Oryctolagus cuniculus: one gene and its partners. The protein of the gene in region 2 purifies or fractionates together with the protein of the main gene of each other region. This does not show direct contact. Links are inferred from orthologs where the notes say so. Each region holds a gene or a part of one and is shown on either strand. Other genes may lie near its edges.

Region 1 (5,810 bases), on a different chromosome or scaffold from region 2:
TGAATTGTTCTGAAGGGGAGTCTGTCCTCCTGGCATTGACAAAATCCAGTGGAGAGAAATTGTTGTCACCTGCCTGCCAAAGGAAATAAAAGTATTTGGCCAAGGCAGTCAATTCAGTTCCTAATATCAAAACTCAAAAAAGGAGAGTTGTTATTACCTCTGCTTAAGTAAAAATCAGCTTTGTTGCTCACTACAGAGATTCAACAGTAGGGGAAGATAAGTAGGTAAGCCACTTTGGGTCCTTCCAAGTGAACTAAGCTATAGTGAAAAACAGGCTGAGGATATCTATCCATGTCACAGGGAGATGCAGCTTGAATGTGACCCTACTCATCCCTATACCTAACTCCAACTCATATCCAGAGAAACAGAGAGAAAGGTCGATGGGGTGTGAGTGAAGGCTCAAAGCCTCTATCTGTAATACTGGCATCCCTCTGAGAACTGATTTAAATCCCAGCTGCTCTACTTCTGACTCAGCTCCCTGCTAATGTGCCTGGGAAAGCAGTGGAAGATGGCCCAAGTATTTGGGACCCTGCCACCCATGTGGGAGAGTCGAATGAAGTTCCTGGCTTCTGGCTTCAGCTTAGGCCAGCCCTAGCTGTTATAGCCATTTGGGTAGTGAACCAGTGTATGAAAAATCTCTCTTTCTCTCTCTTTCTCCCTTTCTCTAACTCTTTCAAATAAATAAAATTTTAAAGAATATTCAAATTTAACACATACAAAACAAACTTTACAGAAATAATAATTACCTTAAAGAAAAAAATCTCAGTAAAATGAATTGGAAAGGGGCCGACGCTGTGGCATAGCAGATAAGGCTGCCGCCTATAGTGCCGGCATCCCATATTGGTGCCAGTTCGTGTACCAGCTGCTCTACTTCCGATCCAACTCTCTGCTATAGCCTGGGAAAGCAGAAGACGGTCCAAGTGCTTGGGCCTCTGCCACCCACATGGGAGAACCAGAAGCAGCTCCTGGCTCCTGGCTTCGAATTGGCCCAGCTCCGGCCATTGCAGCCATTTGGGGAGTGAACCAGCAGATGGAAGACCTCTCTTTCTCTCTCTGCCTCTGCCTCTCTGTAACTCTGCCTTTCAAATAAATAAATAAGCCTTAAAAAAAAAAAAAAAAAAAAAAAAAGGAAAGATAAAGGACAAAGAAAACATAAATCTGAGGGAAAAGCTAGGAAAAATGGAAGATAAACCCAGGAAACCTAACATTTGAATAAAAGAAATTCCAGAAGAAAAGAGAACATAATACAGATGAGGTACTGATTAACAAATGTTAGGGTGTAGGTATTAAAATGCCAGTTGAGATGCCTGAATCCCACCTCAGAGTGCCTGGGTTTGAATCCTGATTTTGCTTCTGATTACAGCTCCCTGCCAATGTGCAGCCTGGGAGTCAGTACTTAGGTCCCTGCCACCCATGTGGAAGACCTAGATTCTGCGCTCCTAGGTTCATCCTGGCTCACCCATAGCAGATGCAGGCATTTGGAGAGTAAACCAGTGGTTGGTAGATCTCTGTCACTATCTCTGCCTTTCACATAAATAAATAAAAAATTTAAATAAAAAAAAATTTAAGGGGTCAGCGCTGTGGTATAGAGGGTAAAGCCGCTGTCTGCAGTGCTGGCATGTTATATGGACACTGGTTTGAGTCCTAGCAGTTCCACTTCCAATCCAGCTCCCTGTTAATGTACCTGGGAAAGCAGTAGAAGATGGCCTAAGAACTTGGGCCCCTGCACATACGTAGAATACCCAGGAGATGCTCCCGGCTCCTGGCTTCTGATAGGGCTAGCTCCAGCCATTGAGGCCACTTGAGGAGTGAACCAGTGGCTGGAAGATCTCTCTCTCTCTCTGTGTTAATGCTGCTTTTCAAATAAATAAATAAATCTTTTTAAAAGTTTAAAACAAATATTAGAATAAAATTTCTCTAAGGTAAAGAAAGATCTGAGTCAGCATATGAAAATGGAAAGGAACTGGCACTGTGGTGCAGGTTAAGCCACTGCTTGTGATGCTGGCAACCCACACTGGAGTGCAGTTTGAGTCTTGGCTGCTCCACATTTGATCCAGTTCCATGCTAGTGCACCAGGCCTAATTACTTGGGCCCCTGACACCCATGTGTGAGACCAGGTTGGAATTCCTGGCTTCAGTCTGGCCCAGTCCCAGTTCTTGCAGCCATTTAGAGAGTGAACCAGCAGATGGAAGGTCACTTGCTTGCTCTCTCTCTCTCTCTCCTCCCCCCACCCCCAAGTTCTGTCTGAGAGGCAGAGTTACAGATAGAGAGAGGGAGAAACACAGAGAGAGGCCTTTCATCTGCTGGTTTACTCCCCAAATGGTCATAATGGCCAGAGCTGGAATGATCCAAAGCCAGGAGCCAGAAGCGTCTTAGGGGTCTCCTATGTAGATGCAGGAGCCCAAGCACTTTCCCAAGCCATTAGCAGGGAGCTGGATCGGAAATGAAGCAGCCAGGTCTTTAACTGGCATCCATATGGGATATTGGTGCTGCAGGTGGATGCTTAACCTATGCCACAGTGCTGGCCCCCAAAAAAATAAATCTTAAAAAAAAAAAAAAAAAGTAACTGGCACTAATCATCAAATTTGACCCTAAGCTTTCTGGAAGCCAGAGAAAGAGGAAAAATATGGCAAAGTCACAGTTCTCATTACAAAAAGGATAGCAATTTCTTTAGGAAGATAATTTTCCCAGGTAATAAATCAAAAATATTTCTTTTAGGAACCTTCTAGAAGGGTCATTTGGCTTCCTTGGCAAGTTTTTACAACAAATGAAGAGCAGTTTGTACATGGCTACATCTTTCAAGATCTTTGACAAAAGTACAACTCACTGAGGGCAGTCTGCAAGGGATAAGCTAGGGAGTCCAAGCACCCTATCTTCCATTGATGTAATTTGATCCCAAGAGACTTGGCCACCTCCTGGAGTGGAAGGAGACAGCTCATTCTTGTAGCAAATAGACCTCTTCATACCTAAGCCATGTTAGAGGGAGACCACCAATCAGAGTGCTAGTATATCCCAACAGTTTGATAAAGGTCGAATGGGAAAGGAGGTAATAAAAACTCCCAGCTACCAGCTAAATGGAGATTCAGGTTCTCGGTGGATTTCCTTTTAACTACCCGAGGGCACCTCTCAGTTGGCCTGAATAGCTGTAAATAGAAGTCACTGAGGTAGAAGACTTCATTATCGTTATTAATTACGTTCCAGCCCCGGCCCTCTGCTCCTCTGAGCTCTCGGCCTGGGCAAACAGCCCAGGCGAGAAGCTGTCCAGGCGAATCTCACCTGCAGCCCCAGCTTGCACAGCGATGGGGTCAGCGAGGAGCACGCAGGCGACATTTTTCCAGAGTTGCTGAGGGGACTGGGCTGCAGCATGAGCTCTCGGAGAGGAGTCCTCATAGCTGGTTTCCCCTGAGAAGGAACGTGAGAAGTCAGTGAGTGTGAGGAAGCTCGGGTTCTGCCAGCCCGGCCTCCTTCCTTCTGGAGAAGCCCTTGAGTCAAAAAGAAGAGTAAGGGTCCCACTCCTATCGAGCCGTAGCCACAAAAAGACTCCTCGGGCCCCCCGCCCCCAACTCGACCCAGTTTCCCGGGAACCTTGGCACTGCCGGTCCCCTCGCCCCCATACCCCGGCCCAGCGCTCTCTCCTCCAGACCCTCCCGCTCACCGGCTGAGGCGAAGGCGACAGGCCGAGGTTCAGTTTCTTCACCCTCCACATCTTTAACACAAGACGCAGATCGATCACCTGCCCGAAAGATTCGCGAACCCCATGTCCACCCGCCGTCTTTATTTGAACCGACTCTGCGCTTCCCGATTGGCTGTGGAGACGCAGTGCGTCAGAACGGTGCGTCGCTCGAGGCTGGAGCCCGGCGGCGCCCGGAGGGCGGGGCCTCGCTTAGCCACGCCCCCTCAGGCTGGACCCGCCCACGCGCGGCGCGCCGTCTCCCGAGCAACTCTACCTCAGACGCCGGCTTGAGGACTGGACACGGACCAGGTCGGAGGCGGGAGTTGTGTCCGCACATCAGAGAGGACCGGACAGGTAGCTGGAGAGTCGGGGACTCCATCCTTCCTGCTTCCAGTGGACCGCCCTCACACCCCGTCAGGAAAGTTGTCAGGTCTCGTCAGGTCTCCCTTAGTAACGCATCGCCTCAGCCTTGACAGGAAAGAGCAGGCCGGGGAGACCAGGATGATGGGTGAGTGGGTGCTTTTTCCTGACGCTTGGGCAGTTTGTGCTTAGGTCCTCACACCCGTGCGGGCCTGGGACGTAGTTCTCAACCTGGGCCCCGGTGCCTGTGCCAACCTTCTGGACTTTGCCTGGAGCTGACCTTGGGGCCTGTGACAAGTCCACCGGAATAGTAGCTACCATGTACTGTGTTGAGCATTTATGTACCTGGTGCGGTGCCTTTTTTTTTTTTTTTAAGATGTATGTATTTATTTTAAAGAGTTACACACAGAGAGAAGGAGAGGGAGAGAGAGGTCTTCCATCCGATGGTTCACTCCCCAGTTGGCCGCAATGACCGGAGCAGCGACGATCCAAAGCCAGGAGCTTCTTCCAGGTCTCCCATATGGGTGCAGGGGTCCAAGGACTTGGGCCATCTTCTACTGCTTTCCCAGGCCATAGCAGAGAGCTGGATTGGAAATGAAGCAGCCGGGACTCAAACTGGCGCCCATATGGGATGCTGGCACTGTAGACAGCGACTTTACCCACTATGCCACAGCGCTGGCTCTTGCAGTGCCTTTTTCTATGTATTCGCTCATTCAATCCTCATAAGGACCTACGAAGTAGGAATGGCTGTAAACATCCCCATTTTATAGACGAAGGAACTGAAACCTAGAAAGAGTATGTCGTTTGTCCGAGGTCCCACATAGTAGACACAGCCCACTACATTCTGCTGTCTCTTGCATTCCTCCTATTTGAGAAATCTGTCCATTGAAAGTGGGATTGGTTTTTGAAAGCAGCCGAAAGGCAGGTATTCAGAGTTCATCAGTGGTGGGCGAGTGTTCCTTTTGAAGCCTCAGGGCACCTTATTTACACTCTGGAAGTCCTAATGACTTGGGCAAAGCAGCAGTCCCAAAGGGAGGAACTATATATAGTCGGTTATGAACTGCAGGGCCCTCAGGCTATAGGCTGTTCTAGAACTGGGCTGTTCAATACCTCAGCCACTAGCCTAACACGTGGTGTTGAGCACCCAGATGTTGCTAATCTAAATTGGGAGTAGCCCTAGGTGTAAAATACCCACTGGATTTTGAAGCTTTTGTACAAAAAAGGCAAAATGTTATAACTTTTAAAAAGTGTTTTTTCAAATAAAAAGATGCTTAGAGCAAGTGAGACAATACATAAAATGCAAAGATGTATTAAAGACACTCCACCCTCCTACAGTAACCAGTTTTATATTCCCCTTTAGAAAAACATGCATGTACACACACATATAGAGGTTTTATTTCATTTACTTACATACACATACATATGCACTGATTTTATTTTTCCCCAAAATTAATTGAAGCACACTGGAGTGTTTGGGACTGTGGGTTATGTCTTCTACCCCCCACCCCCACCCCACCACCCCTTTTTTTCCACTAGAATTACTTTCTCCTTCCTTGGTTCTTTTCTCTGATAATCTTTTTTTTGGGGGAGGGGGCAGGCAGAGTGGACAGTGAGAGAGAGAGAGAAAGGTCTTCCTTTTGCCATTGGTTCACCCTCCAATGGCCGCCACGGCCGGCGCGCTGCGGCTGGTGCATCGCACTGATCCGAAGCCAGGAGCCAGGTGCTTCTCCTGGTCTCCCATGGGGTGCAGGGCCCAAGTACTTGGGCCATCCTCCAC
Region 2 (6,099 bases):
GCGATGTATGTTTCAGATCCAACAGGAAGGCCATGGGCAAGAGAACAGTACTGAACTGAAAATTCAAGTATGGCTGCCTGGAGCTGTGAGTAATGTGGCTGGAAAGGTGGTCAGGCACCAGCCTGTGGAGGGTCATGCAAGTGTGGCTGGACTTTGATCCAAAGAACAGCAGGCATCTAAGTAAACAGTTCTAAGCAAGGAAGACACAGGATCACCCTTGACTGCTGTGTGGGATGCCAACTGGAGTGGGACAAGGATGGAGGCTAGAGAAACAATTCCAAGGCAGATGTGGTAGTCCAGTCTAAGAAGTGACCTGCACTAGAGGGACAGAGGAGTGGGCAGAAAGAAATCTGGAGAAAATCCAGGTATCAAGAGGGCTATGGTGGCCAGTGCCACGGCTCAATAGGCTAATCCTCCACCTTGCGGCGCCGGCACACCGGGTTCTAGTCCTGGTCGGGGCATCGGATTCTGTCCCGGTTGCCCCTCTTCCAGGCCAGCTCTCTGCTGTGGCCAGGGAGTGCAGTGGAGGATGGCCCAAGTACTTGGGCCCTGCAGCCCATGGGAGACCAGGAGAAGCACTTAGCTCCTGCCTTCGAATCAGTGCGGTGCGCCGGCCCCAGCATGCCAGCCTCAGCGTGCTGGCCGCAGCAGCCATTGGAGGGTGAACCAATGGCCAAAGGAAGACCTTTCTCTGTCTTTCTCACTGTCCACTCTGCCTGTCAAAAAAAAAAAAAAAAAAGAGGGCTATGGTAATTACTGGAGGAAGCCTCAAATTCAAATGTTCTTCAAGAACGAAGTTTCACACATAGCATAACAAATAACCACCAACCAGAATTTCACCAGTATTCGACATTAAAATATATACTGTGATGGTTTCATATCCAATAGCTCACATGAGTACCACCTTGCTCTTCTATTGAACAAATTCCTCCTAGAATCTACTCAGAAATCTCACTAAACCAGTTAGACTTTTTGTAAATGAAACTCTTTGAAAGATCTCATGAAACAAAACATTGAACACGCAAAAAAAAAAATGTGCCCCTAGATCCTAAGAAGTCCTGTTGTAAGCCATTTTGCGTGCTTCCCCCTTTTGTCTTTTGCAGTTTTGATAAAATATAGAGTATGAAAAAAAATCAAACAGGCAACCACTTAACCATGTAATACCTTGACGGCACTGCTGCTTAAGAAGCTGGTGTATTTGCACCCCCGCTGTCCTCTCTCCTCTCCATCAGTGTCGGCTACAGTATTCTTTAAGCCCTGTTTATTACTTCTTTCTTCATATGCTCCAGCCTGTTCTTCTTCCATTAATTCCTACTGAGCTCTACTGAACCCTGAATTTCTGAGACATGGATATTCATACTCTTACCCTTTCCTCCCCCTTCTCTCCCACCCCACTTCTTTCAGTTTCTAAATTTGTCCATGGTCCTTAAAACCTGAATAAAGAATCGAATGTAAATGTTGTTTCCTGTGCTTTTCTATAGATGAAATATACTTCCTTTTAGTAAGAGAAGGAAAACTCTTTGCCTGATTATGTTCCCCTTTTTTGCCTAGGCAGCTAGAATGTTTAGAGGTTGATATAGTGCTCAAAATAACTAAAATGCCTTCTCTTCTAAAGATCTATCATCTTTAGCCATTCTCTTTTAGTATTTTGTTATAAGCAGTTCAAATCTTCTTGGAAATAGCTGGATAAAAAACTAATTTGTATAAAGAACCTATGTTTGAAGCTGAAAATAAAACTCTAAACTAAATTATACCAGTAGACACTACACTGGTGTTACGGAGAGTGGAAATCTAAGGAGATGAAGAGTTACAGTGCAGTGGGTGTGTGCAAGGGAAAAGGCGGCTCCAGGATCTTCCACCCTCATGAAGGAAAAACCCCACGTGGCCACAAGGCTGTGCCTCTCCTGTGCAGTCAGTTACCAAATCCTATCGTCCTCTGTTTTGGCTTTCTGCCACTCACTCCACCCAGCCACTTTGGCCTCCTTGATATCCCTTATCCAAAAAGCCTGGGCCAGAGTGTTTCAGATTGTTTTTTTTTTCTGGATTTTGGAATATTTGCATATACATGAACTATCTTAGGGATGGAATCCAAGTCTAAACAGTTTATTTGTTTCATAGACCTCTTATGCATATTGCCTAAAGACAAACTGACACAGTGTTTCTAAGGGTAAATTTACACAATGTGCATTATGACTGGCACCCATTACATGGGGTCAAGCTGCTGCATTTCCCACTTGTGGTGTCATGCTGACACTATGTTTCAGATAGCAGAGCATTCTGGATTTTAAAGACGATCAACCTGTAAGACTTCCTGGAACTCAACATTTCATTCAGGTCTCTGTTCGCAAGTTACTTCTAAAGGAAAGCCTTGGTACTCGCACACTTTGACTGAGTGGCACAATCACACCCACCACCTTCGGCCCCCTAACCTTGCTAGGTTTGCATTCCTAACACTTACCACTAGTTGACACTAAGTATTTATCTACGCTGTGTCTCCCCAGCTAGGATATTACTGCATGAGGCCTGGGACATTCTTCCCCCACTACTGTATCCCCAGTGTCTAGGAGGCCTGAATAAAATGGTTAAAGAAATGAGTTTGCTGGATTTTTTGAGGGAATGACATTCCAAGCATTCACGACAGTTGCAGTGACAACACAGCACAGCCTTTCACAGAGGAATTCCTTCACATTTGCTGAAACGTATTTGCAAAGACAGGGAGACTAGTATCGAACCCAACGTGGGTAGCAAGTCAAACAGCCATCCCTGCATAGGAATTAAGAGCCCTACCATCTTCTAAGACCAGAGAGTTCTTGGCCCAGAAGCTTCCCCCAAACCCTCGTTTCTGAACACAGAGCAGTTACCAAATTATTTCTCAGACATTTCCTGTTCTTTTCCCATGGTCCTGGTCTCATCTCTGCCAGCAATTCCGTTCTACACCCTGGAAAATCCCAGCCAGTGAGCCAGGCGACACACTGCTGAGCTCAGAAGCAAGCAGACCCCTTATCACCTCTGGGACCCCTGCTGTTTGAAGCATCTCCCCCAGTAGATCCTGAACCCACGCGGGCACTGATACAGTGTAACAGTGGACTTCCAGCTTTAAGCTTGTGCACAATATAAAAATTCTGATGTGTCCTCGGGCTTCACACACTGCATTTCTACCTTCAATACGAAATCTACACACAGCAGGAACTGAATTAGACCAAGACAGCGGGGGAAGCGAGGAGTGCTGCACAGCCCTCTTTCGTATCTGGTGTTTTCCCCAGCTGCCCTGGGTCGGAGGGAAAAATGTGTCTTAAGATTCAGGGGACGGGGTGGGGGTGGGGCTGGGGGGGTCCGCAAACGCCCCGAGGCGGGAGGAACCGGCACCTACAGGTCTCCAGCAAACACGACCACTGCGGCTGCTCCAGGCACAGCGGCGGAAGTTGGAGCGACTTTGCAACAGCTGCAAGAGCTGCGCTCTCGGCGCGGGGAGAGCGGGGAGCGGGAGCCAGGCCGCCCCGCCCGCGGCGGCCGGCAGCGCCCGGCCCCGAGCCCACCTCGCTGCGACCCGGACGGGTCCCACCTGTTCGCCCTCCTTCCCCGCGCCGAGGCCCGCCGGGGGCGCAGCGCCGAGCGGCAGGGCGAGGGGCACGCGGAGCCCTATCGGAGCCCATGCTCACCCTTGGTCAGCGTGTCCAGCACCCCCGACTTCTCCAAGTACCTCCGGAACTGCTCGCGCTTCGAGTCGGCGGCCTGAGGAGACACCGCGGGTCAGGGGCCGAAGCCCAGGGGCCGGAGCAGGAAGAAGGCTCTGGGAGTCCGGCAACCCCGCCTCCACCGCGCTACCGCGGGGACCCCCCACACCTGCGCGCGCTCCCACTCCCGCCCGGCGCCGACCCGCAGCTGGCGACCGCCCACACGCCCCCAGCCACGCCGCGCCCCCCTCACTTTGTAATGGGCCATAGTGACAGCGGCAGCGGCGTCGCTGGCGCCGGAGACCGTGGCTGGCGGGCTCCGGCCGGCACTGCTCATGCGCAGCAGGGCGCACGCGACTGCGCACTGGCGAGCCACGGGCCGGGGCGGCCGGGGTGTGGCCTGTTTTCATGGCGACCGGGACGCTCTGGATCCCCAGTCGGGGGCAGAGCCGAGGGAGGCTGCGTGCGCCCGCCCCTCGGGCTGTCCGAGCAGCGCCTCTTCCGGTCGCCGCGGCGATTCGGTTGCAGAGGGAGAAGCGAGGTCTCGGGAGCTGGGGCCTAGCGTCCAGGTGCGGCCGGAGGGGGCGTGGCGCCAGGGGGCGGGGCCCTCGAGCGCGCGGGCGGGAGGGGCGGTCGTCCCGGAAGCGCGCGCACGGTGGGCGCTGGGGGATCCGTGCGTTTCCAGTGTCCGAAGGTGCGTGCTGAGGCGTGAGCGTGCTGGCTGCGGCGCCCACATCTGGGTGCGGGCCCTGGAGGGCGAGCGGCCACGTGCTCCGGCAGCTGCCGGCGCCGCGGAGCGCTCACGGGTGCTTTCGCGTGAATCCTCACAGCCTCCCTGCCGTGTGCGAGCTGCCGGTGAAGTGGCGAGGTTGGGTGACCGGTGACGATGCGGGAGGCCGGTGGGAGACAGCCACAGATGTGTGTAGTATTTTATTGTGGTTACACTTCGTACACCTGAGGTTGCAGTCCACAAAGAAACTACGCTATGGAGTCCCAGGATACACAAAATACAAAATCACCCCCCCCACACACACACACACCGTTGTCCAAAGATAGAGGATAAAGGGGCTAAAAGAAGGCGCTATGGGGATCAAGAGCAATTTCCCAAAGCCATGGGCCCCTCCCAAGTAGGAAACCTGGCTCCAAACCACGTAGCCGCGATGCTGAACGTGTGGTTTTCACCTAGTGGATTTCACACATTCTAAAGAGAGCTATAGAAAATGAAGATAAGAAAAATCCTGACCTGGCAACCCTTGGTCTTTGAATTCAGAAGTGTCCCTGCACAGATGAGTCGCAGTTGCCACAGCCCTAACAGCTGCCCCTGGCCGTTTTGTCCGTGCTCCGCCTGGGCGAGGCTACTTCGCTGATAACGTAGGGCGCACCGGGTCCAGAAGCCAGAGCTGTTCAGATCTGGAGGTCGGTGGGAAGCCGCCTCCCCGCGAGGCTGTTGGTCAAGGACACTGCAGGATTTGGAGGACAAACAGGATTGTTGCAGGGTCTGACCAACCCAGGCTCACAGGACGGCTCTCTCAAAGAGCAGGGTCCCTGTGGAACAGGAAGCAGCTGGGAGTTCCCTTGTGAGGGTGGGAAGGTGCTGGTTGTGCCCTCCAGGAACTGGCCCTCGAGGTTGCCGTTTGGAATGAGGTGACCATTTGGAGGTGACCTCCAGTTTCCACCTTCTGTGGAGGGCCCCCGCGTGGCACTGAGCCACCTCGGTTTCCAGGTGTGGTTAGCTGGCAGAGAGACACCTGCTTGGGGCAACCTCTCGGTGTAGTTGTCCAGGTCTCCAGCAACACTTGACACAGAACAGTGACCTCTGCTGCAGTGGTTCCTTTGGCTGTCTTGGCCGTCAGTTGCTCTTTTTTCCCTTAACTGGTTCCCATTAGCTGCTTTTCCAAATGTTTTATGAGGATCTTTGCTATGATTGGAGCGGATGTGTTGAAGATGACTGTAAGCAGTATGAAGTGAACGCATCTTATCAGAAAATACAGCTCCTGGTTCATCCAGAGCACATTGCTGGTCATTTACACTGTGACTGCCAGGATCTGCCTGGAATGGGGGAGATGGATTTAAACTAGGGTGCACTGCCCTGTGTGTTTGCTTTTCCGCTGAGAGATGACCAGGCGCAGGAGGGAGTCGCTTTGGCGACTTGGCAGGTGCCCTCTGATTTTGTTTGGACTGGTTTGCATGGAATTCCTTATGTTCACCCTTCCATTTAGATTGGCCCCAAAGCCCTCTTTTAATCTTTTTAAACCCTAGGTAGAAGATTTCTAGAATGCTCAAGAAAAGTGAAACCGTGGCTATGGATTGCATAAATAATAGGAATATTGTCTTTTCTGTTGGTCGTGAGACAAAACAGTCAATTATGTTTGGACAGGGCTGCCTGTGGCATTTAAATAGAGGCTGCAGGTGGAATCCATATAAA
Region 3 (5,995 bases), on a different chromosome or scaffold from region 2:
GGATGACTAATTGCTTCCATGGAAAATACTGAGAAAAGTGTTTCTGTGATTTTTGTTGGACTCTTGCCATCTGGCCTGCCTAACCCCAATTTTAGAGTTTATTTGGTTACATGTCGAAACCTACAGCAATCACCTTTCTTCTCTCTCCCCCCTAGCAGTCCCTCAACACTGGAGTAGGTTTTATGATTAACCATGACTTTAAATAGGGCAGCAGATGCTGTTGTGTTCTAGTAAAATAAAATTCTGGTTTCCCAGAAGCGTGCTGGGTAAATTCTGGGATCTGGAGCAGGACTCAACTTTGCCAATTCCCTACCATTCAACTTCGGAGGGTAGGTGTAAGGCCGCCATAGAAACACACCAAACACTGGAGTAAGCGAAAGAGTTTATTGGGGGAATCCCGACAGACTGGAGGGAAGGGGGTAGATCGCGCCATTTTACTAACAGTAGGAAGTTAAGATAGTATTTTTCTGCACTGCCGGAACAGGAAGTCTCTTAACAAGCAAGTGCAAGGTGATTTAAAAAAATTTTTTTTCACAAGGTGACTTTAAAAAACAGCTCTTTATTTGAAAGTCACAATGACAGAGAGGGAGGGACAGAAAGCAAAAAAAAATTTAAAAAATATAAAAAAAATTATAAAAAATAACTCTTCCAACTGCTGGTTCACTTCCCGAATGGCCACAACAGCCAGGGCTGGGCCAGGCCAAAACCAGGAGCCTGGAGCTCCACCCGGGTGTCCCACGTGGGTGCACGCAGGGGGCCCAAGTACTTGGACCATCACCCTCTGCTTTCCCAGGTGCACGAGTGGGAGCTGGATCGGAAGTGCAGCAGCCGGAACTGGAACTGGCGCTGGGATGTGGGGATGGCAGTGTCCCTGGCGGCGAGCTGGCCGCCCCAAAGGTGACTTTTTTTTAAGGGGGAAAAAAATAAACAACCCTCACGAACTTTGGTTAACAGTGCCATTGCTCCCTGTTGAGGATGCGCAACTAGGGACAGGGTGAACAAAACAAATCGTTGGCAACGGCATCATCTTGGCCCAGTGTGTGACCTGTTCTGATTTCTGAAAGGAAACCAGCAGCCCGCGGGGGGGATCTGTAGACCGCCTTGGTCGGTTCCACACGCTTTCGCCGATCAGTTCTATTTTCCTGCTTAAGCCGTTAAGGCCGCCTCTGTGGAGTCGCCAGGCAAGCGGGCCTCGGGGAGCCGGGCAGACAGGTGCGCCCTCTGTTTGGAAATACACAAAGGGCCGGCATCGCGGCCGCTGTGTCCCTGGCAACTCCACGCACGCGAGGCGCGCGCACTTCCCGCGGGCCCGCGGCGCACGGGGCGGCCGGGCGGGGCGGCGGCGAGCCTCGGCCTGCTCGCGGACGCGGCGCCTGGGACGCGCCAAGGCGGCTCCGGCGGCGGCGGCGGCGGCGCCCGCGCTGTAGGGACTTGTAGTCCGCGTGCCTCCCGGGCGCCTCCCCCCGGGTAGGCAGGCCCGGGCGTCCCCGTCCGCCGCAAGCCGACTTCCTGCCGCTGCCAAAAACTACACCTCCCGCCGTCCTCTCCGCGGCCGGGCCGAAAGCGAAAACAAAATTCTGAGCTGCCAGGGTGCTGCCCTCCGCCGGGCGCCCCCTCCCGCCGCCCGCCCCTCAGGCGCCCTCAGGCGAGGTGGGGAGACGCGAGGCCGCGGCTCTTTTCTTCTGGTTTCCTCAGCGCCCGGCGAGGGGAGCGCGCGGGGTAGGCGGGCAGGCCGCGGCTCACCTGAGCCGGCCCCGCGAGCGCGCCGGGGGCGGGGGCTTCCTCGCTCCACGCCGGTCGGGACCAGGAAACTCGTGCGGGCGGCGACCCCCGGCCCGGTTCCTGACTGGGCGGCGAGGCCCCCGGGACGCGACTCTCGTCCCTCGGGATTTTCTTCGCTCCCTGCCGCCCCACGCCGTCTCCTCTCTGGGCGCGTGGTCCCTCCGGGGAGGCGGTCGCGTGCGGCCGGCCATGCACTAGGCAGGGCTCGCCCTATGCGTCTGGGGAGCGCGGACCGCTGCCTCGGGCCGCCGCCTGCTGCCGCTCGCGGAGCCGGAGCCGGAGCCAGGCCGGGGCGTCGAGCTGCCGGCGGCGCGGCCATGTGGGGCTAGCCCGCGCCGCGCCTGGCCTGCAGCGGAACCGGCAACATGGAGGCGGCCGTCGGCGCCCCGGACGGCGGGGACCAGGGCGGCGCGGGGCCCCGCGAGGACGCGACGCCCATGGACGCCTATCTGCGGAAACTGGGCTTGTATCGCAAACTGGTCGCCAAGGACGGGTCGTGCCTGTTCCGGGCCGTGGCGGAGCAGGTAATGGGCGCGGGGAAGCCGGTGCGGCCGGTGGGGCTGGGTGGGGGAAGCGGCGGCGGCCCCGGGCCGTCCGGGACGCCCCCGTCCGGGGGGCTGCGCGTGGCCCGCGGCCGTCACCACCGCCCATTGTAACGCCCGAGTGCGGCGCCGCTTTGGGGTCTGCAAGCTGGCCTTGGAGATCGGGGGGCCTTGCGTTATGCGGGTGCCGTCTCTTGCTGACGAGGTAATGAGTGTGGGACGACGGGGAGGGGTGATGGTGCTGGCGACACGGTATTTTCCACTTGGGTGCCGCATTCGGCTTGCCGTGTAAAAAGAGCGTTCACGCCGGTAAACCGCATGTTTGCGGGAGGTGGTGGTGCCCCAGGCTGGACTTGTGGAACGTATTTTTCCTGCTAGTGGACTTTGGAATGTGCGGGAGTCCAGCTCGCCGCCGATGTCACTTGAGCCCAGGGAGCCGACTTCGCCATACGAGAAAGCCAGCCTTTGACAAAGAGAGTATTTTGAATGAATTGGCTTTGGGTGTAGTCCACACTTGCTCTGCAAGGCGGTGGAGGTATACTAAAAAGAAGTTACTTTTAACAGGGGGAAAAAAAAGACTTGTTTCGGTGTTGGCGGGAGGAAGGGTGTAACTGGGTGTTCTCTAGGCCCTTCCTGAACGGATTTTTACCCGTTAAATTTTTGTCCAATACAGTTGGTTAGCAAGATGCTTGTGATTTTGGGGGGGGGGGTTAATTTCTTTGGAGAAAGAGCTTGTTCCATGTTTTGCCACATCGTATTGGAGGTTTACGGTCACCCAAATCCATCCTGTATTGAAAAAATAGCTGCTGAGTAGTCCATCTTTAAAAAGTTTCACCTGACTGCCTTGGTTTGTATTTTGTGCCTTTCGCTGTTTGCCCTCCTTTGCCTTAAGGTGTGCTCCTCCCTACCCCCTATGGGGTTTTTATGTTGTTTGGTCTTTTTTTTCTGTCACCGTTTTTGAATGGTAAATAGCTTTTACAATTTCTATTGTGAGTAAATGTTTCACTTAACATGTTGAGTTCAGTTAGTTTCTCTCTCTCTCTCTTTTTTTAGTAGGAAAAGGCTAGTAGTTTGTTTTCCAAAGATCTTCACATCTGTAGTGTAAATCTTTTATAACAAGAAATTGATGTAACATAAATCTTTCCATTATATGCTACAGAGATTGTCATTGAAGCATTCCTAAAGCTCCCCAAACCAGGCTCTGCCTTTTTCAGTTCCTTAACTTTCTCTCATTTTCAGGAGTTTGAGATGCTCCAGTGTGGGTAGGATATGTTCACACACACCCACCCTAGTCCTTACTATTAGTAGGTAAACAGTCTGCCCCATTCATTTATGAATTTGCCGGGTCTCTGTCTGTTTTGCTTCTTCTGGCTCAGCTACTTTGGACTCCTGAGCACCTTCAGAAAGAGAGAAGAGGTAGAGGTAAATTCAGCTCATTTTATGTACTGTTAGCTTTAGCGAAAGTTTGGTAAGGAAGGATGTCGAAATTAATAAATATGAAGCGGAACTGGAAGCTTATTTGGGATTGAATTATCCAAGTCTTAGTTTTTATTTCTATTGGAGCAGAATGGTGTGTCTGCTTTCAGTATTACACGCTATAGTTGGATGAACTTGATTTTACTGAGGCCTGCTACTGTAGCGTGATCTCTATTTTTAAGTGGAAAGTTCTTAACGAAGCACTCATCAACATCAGGTAACAATTTATTGTATTTTTGCTTTGTAGTGATTTAAGGGAGATATAACAGACTACTCTATCCGGTTATGTGACTGATTTTTAGTATACTGGGGGAAGCTCACCTAATTCAGTAGATAAGGACCAAGTGTATAGCCATCTTGGCCAAAGGCAAAGTGTGCATGTGGGGAAAAGGGAAATAACACCCACTTCTGACTGCCCTTTTAAAGTATGTGCATAGGATTTGTTTTTATGTGAATAATTTTTCCTGTGAAATCACGAGCAGGTTATCCAAATGGCAGTGTTCAGAGATGGGGAGGAGACTTGAGTTAGGAGTCACTCTTCCTCTAAATTATCTGGTTTAGATAGGCCCTTTCCTTTTTACACTTGTAGATTTAGGCCTGCAGGAGGCCTGACCTGAATCAGTTCCATAGTCAGGGAGCTAAAAATAGGGCACTCTTAGAGGACTTGGTAAAATAGTGTGTCTCAGCCTTTTTCCAGTGTTTATCACTGTGTGGTCTCAAATAAAGATTTGAAAGCCTCCTATCTCTAGCTTATTTTCATCATACAATAATTTGCTAAGGTAGATGTTTGTCATACCATTTGAATCCTGAGTGTCCTTGAACTTGCACACTAACTTGCTTTTTAAACTTTTCATTTAACATTGCTTTTCTTGGCGGTATTTGTCTTTGTAAATTACTGGTAGCCCACACTTTAGGGGAGTTGTGAGAGTTTTGTTTCAGAGCAGTAGGTACAGATTGATTCCATTTAAGTCTGTTAAAAGGAAAAAAACCAGTAGATATGTCTTGCCATTGTTTCTGATACTAACATACTAACATATGTCTGCCACCTGTTGCTAGGTAAATGGCTTTAATGCCAGCTTCATCTTGCTAACAGCAGGAAAGGCCTATCAGATGACACTGTGGTTTTACTCATGCTAATACTACCTTGATTCATAATAGTGTTTAAGATAGCTTTTGTGCAAGGCAGTGTTGCTGAATGTCATTTGCTAAATTGGCAAGGAAAAAAGCAACAAAAACAATTATCTTATGGTGTTTATTTGTATATATGGACAATCTTTTTTGCACTGGAAGCTTAAGATATATAAGGATACTTTTTAATAATGTCCCAAGATGGCAATGAAAGTACACCCAGTTAAGCTGAAAGCCAACTAGTATACTGAAAACAAACTCATTGGAAATGTCAGCTAGTGCATCATCAGTGTATTTTAGTGCAGTGGGACATACTACCTGTGTGGTTCTGTGGGTATAAATGAACTTGACTCCAAGAGACCTACAGAATGTGATGCTTGAGCTCATCATGAACAGAAGGGAGAATGAAGTGGGAATATAACATTTATTTATTTGACAGGCAGGGTGAGAGGAGGAGAGAGAGGGAGGGAAAGAGAGACATAGATAGATAGATAACTTCCATCTGCTGGTTTACACCCCAAATGACTACAAGGATTGGGGCTGGTCCAGCCCAGAAACTCATCCTGGTCTCCCTAGATATGGGTGGCAGGGGCCCAGGTACTTAGGCCATCTTCCACTGCTTTCCCGGGAACATAAGCAGGGAGTTGGGTGGGAAGTTGGAGTAGCCAGGGCTCGAACTGGCATCCTGAGATGTGGGTGGTTTGAAGCCACAGCTTAACCTACTGAGCTATAATGCTGGCCCCTGGAGCTGTAACTTTTTAAAAAAGTTTTTTTAAAGTTTATTTTCATTTTATTTTTGAAAGAGAGAGACAGTGCATTAGCAGGAAATAGGAATTAGAAGTGGAGTTTGGACTCTCAGTCCTCAGATATGGGATGCTCAGCATTCCAAACACTGGATCAAAAGCCTCCACTTGGGTAACTCTTAAAATCACGTAAAGCTACTTTCCATAATATAAATTCTCAGTAGGCCTTGACAGTACTTTGAGATGTGTTGCTTCAAATGTTTCGTTGTGTTTTCTTAAACCTTGACGTTTAGGGTACCAGGAATACCTTCATTTGAGATACCT

Evidence for each region. The genes of interacting proteins can lie anywhere in the genome.
Region 1: the proteins of MYCBP (region 2) and SPAG5 purify together in Homo sapiens (co-immunoprecipitation; 3 studies listed by BioGRID and IntAct, with this or other methods). This does not show direct contact. The link is inferred for Oryctolagus cuniculus from reciprocal best matches to the Homo sapiens genes MYCBP and SPAG5.
Region 3: the proteins of MYCBP (region 2) and OTUD4 purify together in Homo sapiens (co-immunoprecipitation; 3 studies listed by BioGRID and IntAct, with this or other methods). This does not show direct contact. The link is inferred for Oryctolagus cuniculus from reciprocal best matches to the Homo sapiens genes MYCBP and OTUD4.

Annotation. Positions count from the first base shown.
Region 1 is NC_091448.1:44,103,194-44,109,003, forward strand, and holds the start of SPAG5 (sperm-associated antigen 5), read right to left. Parts: upstream 3,849-5,810; 5' UTR 3,707-3,848; coding exon 3,656-3,706; intron 3,403-3,655; coding exon 3,277-3,402; intron 74-3,276; coding exon 1-73. UniProt on the Homo sapiens protein: Essential component of the mitotic spindle required for normal chromosome segregation and progression into anaphase. Required for chromosome alignment, normal timing of sister chromatid segregation, and maintenance of spindle pole architecture.
Region 2 is NC_091438.1:133,965,296-133,971,394, reverse strand, and holds the start of MYCBP (C-Myc-binding protein), read right to left. Parts: upstream 4,063-6,099; 5' UTR 4,012-4,062; coding exon 3,928-4,011; intron 3,733-3,927; coding exon 3,660-3,732; intron 1-3,659. Other genes in the region: GJA9 (gap junction alpha-9 protein), read right to left, coding at 5,079-6,099. UniProt on the Homo sapiens protein: May control the transcriptional activity of MYC. Stimulates the activation of E box-dependent transcription by MYC.
Region 3 is NC_091439.1:19,610,633-19,616,627, forward strand, and holds the start of OTUD4 (OTU domain-containing protein 4), read left to right. Parts: upstream 1-2,147; coding exon 2,148-2,306; intron 2,307-2,318; exon of another isoform or gene 2,319-2,502; coding exon of another isoform or gene 2,503-2,529; intron 2,530-2,743; exon of another isoform or gene 2,744-2,859; intron 2,860-3,544; exon of another isoform or gene 3,545-3,656; coding exon of another isoform or gene 3,657-3,746; intron 3,747-5,995.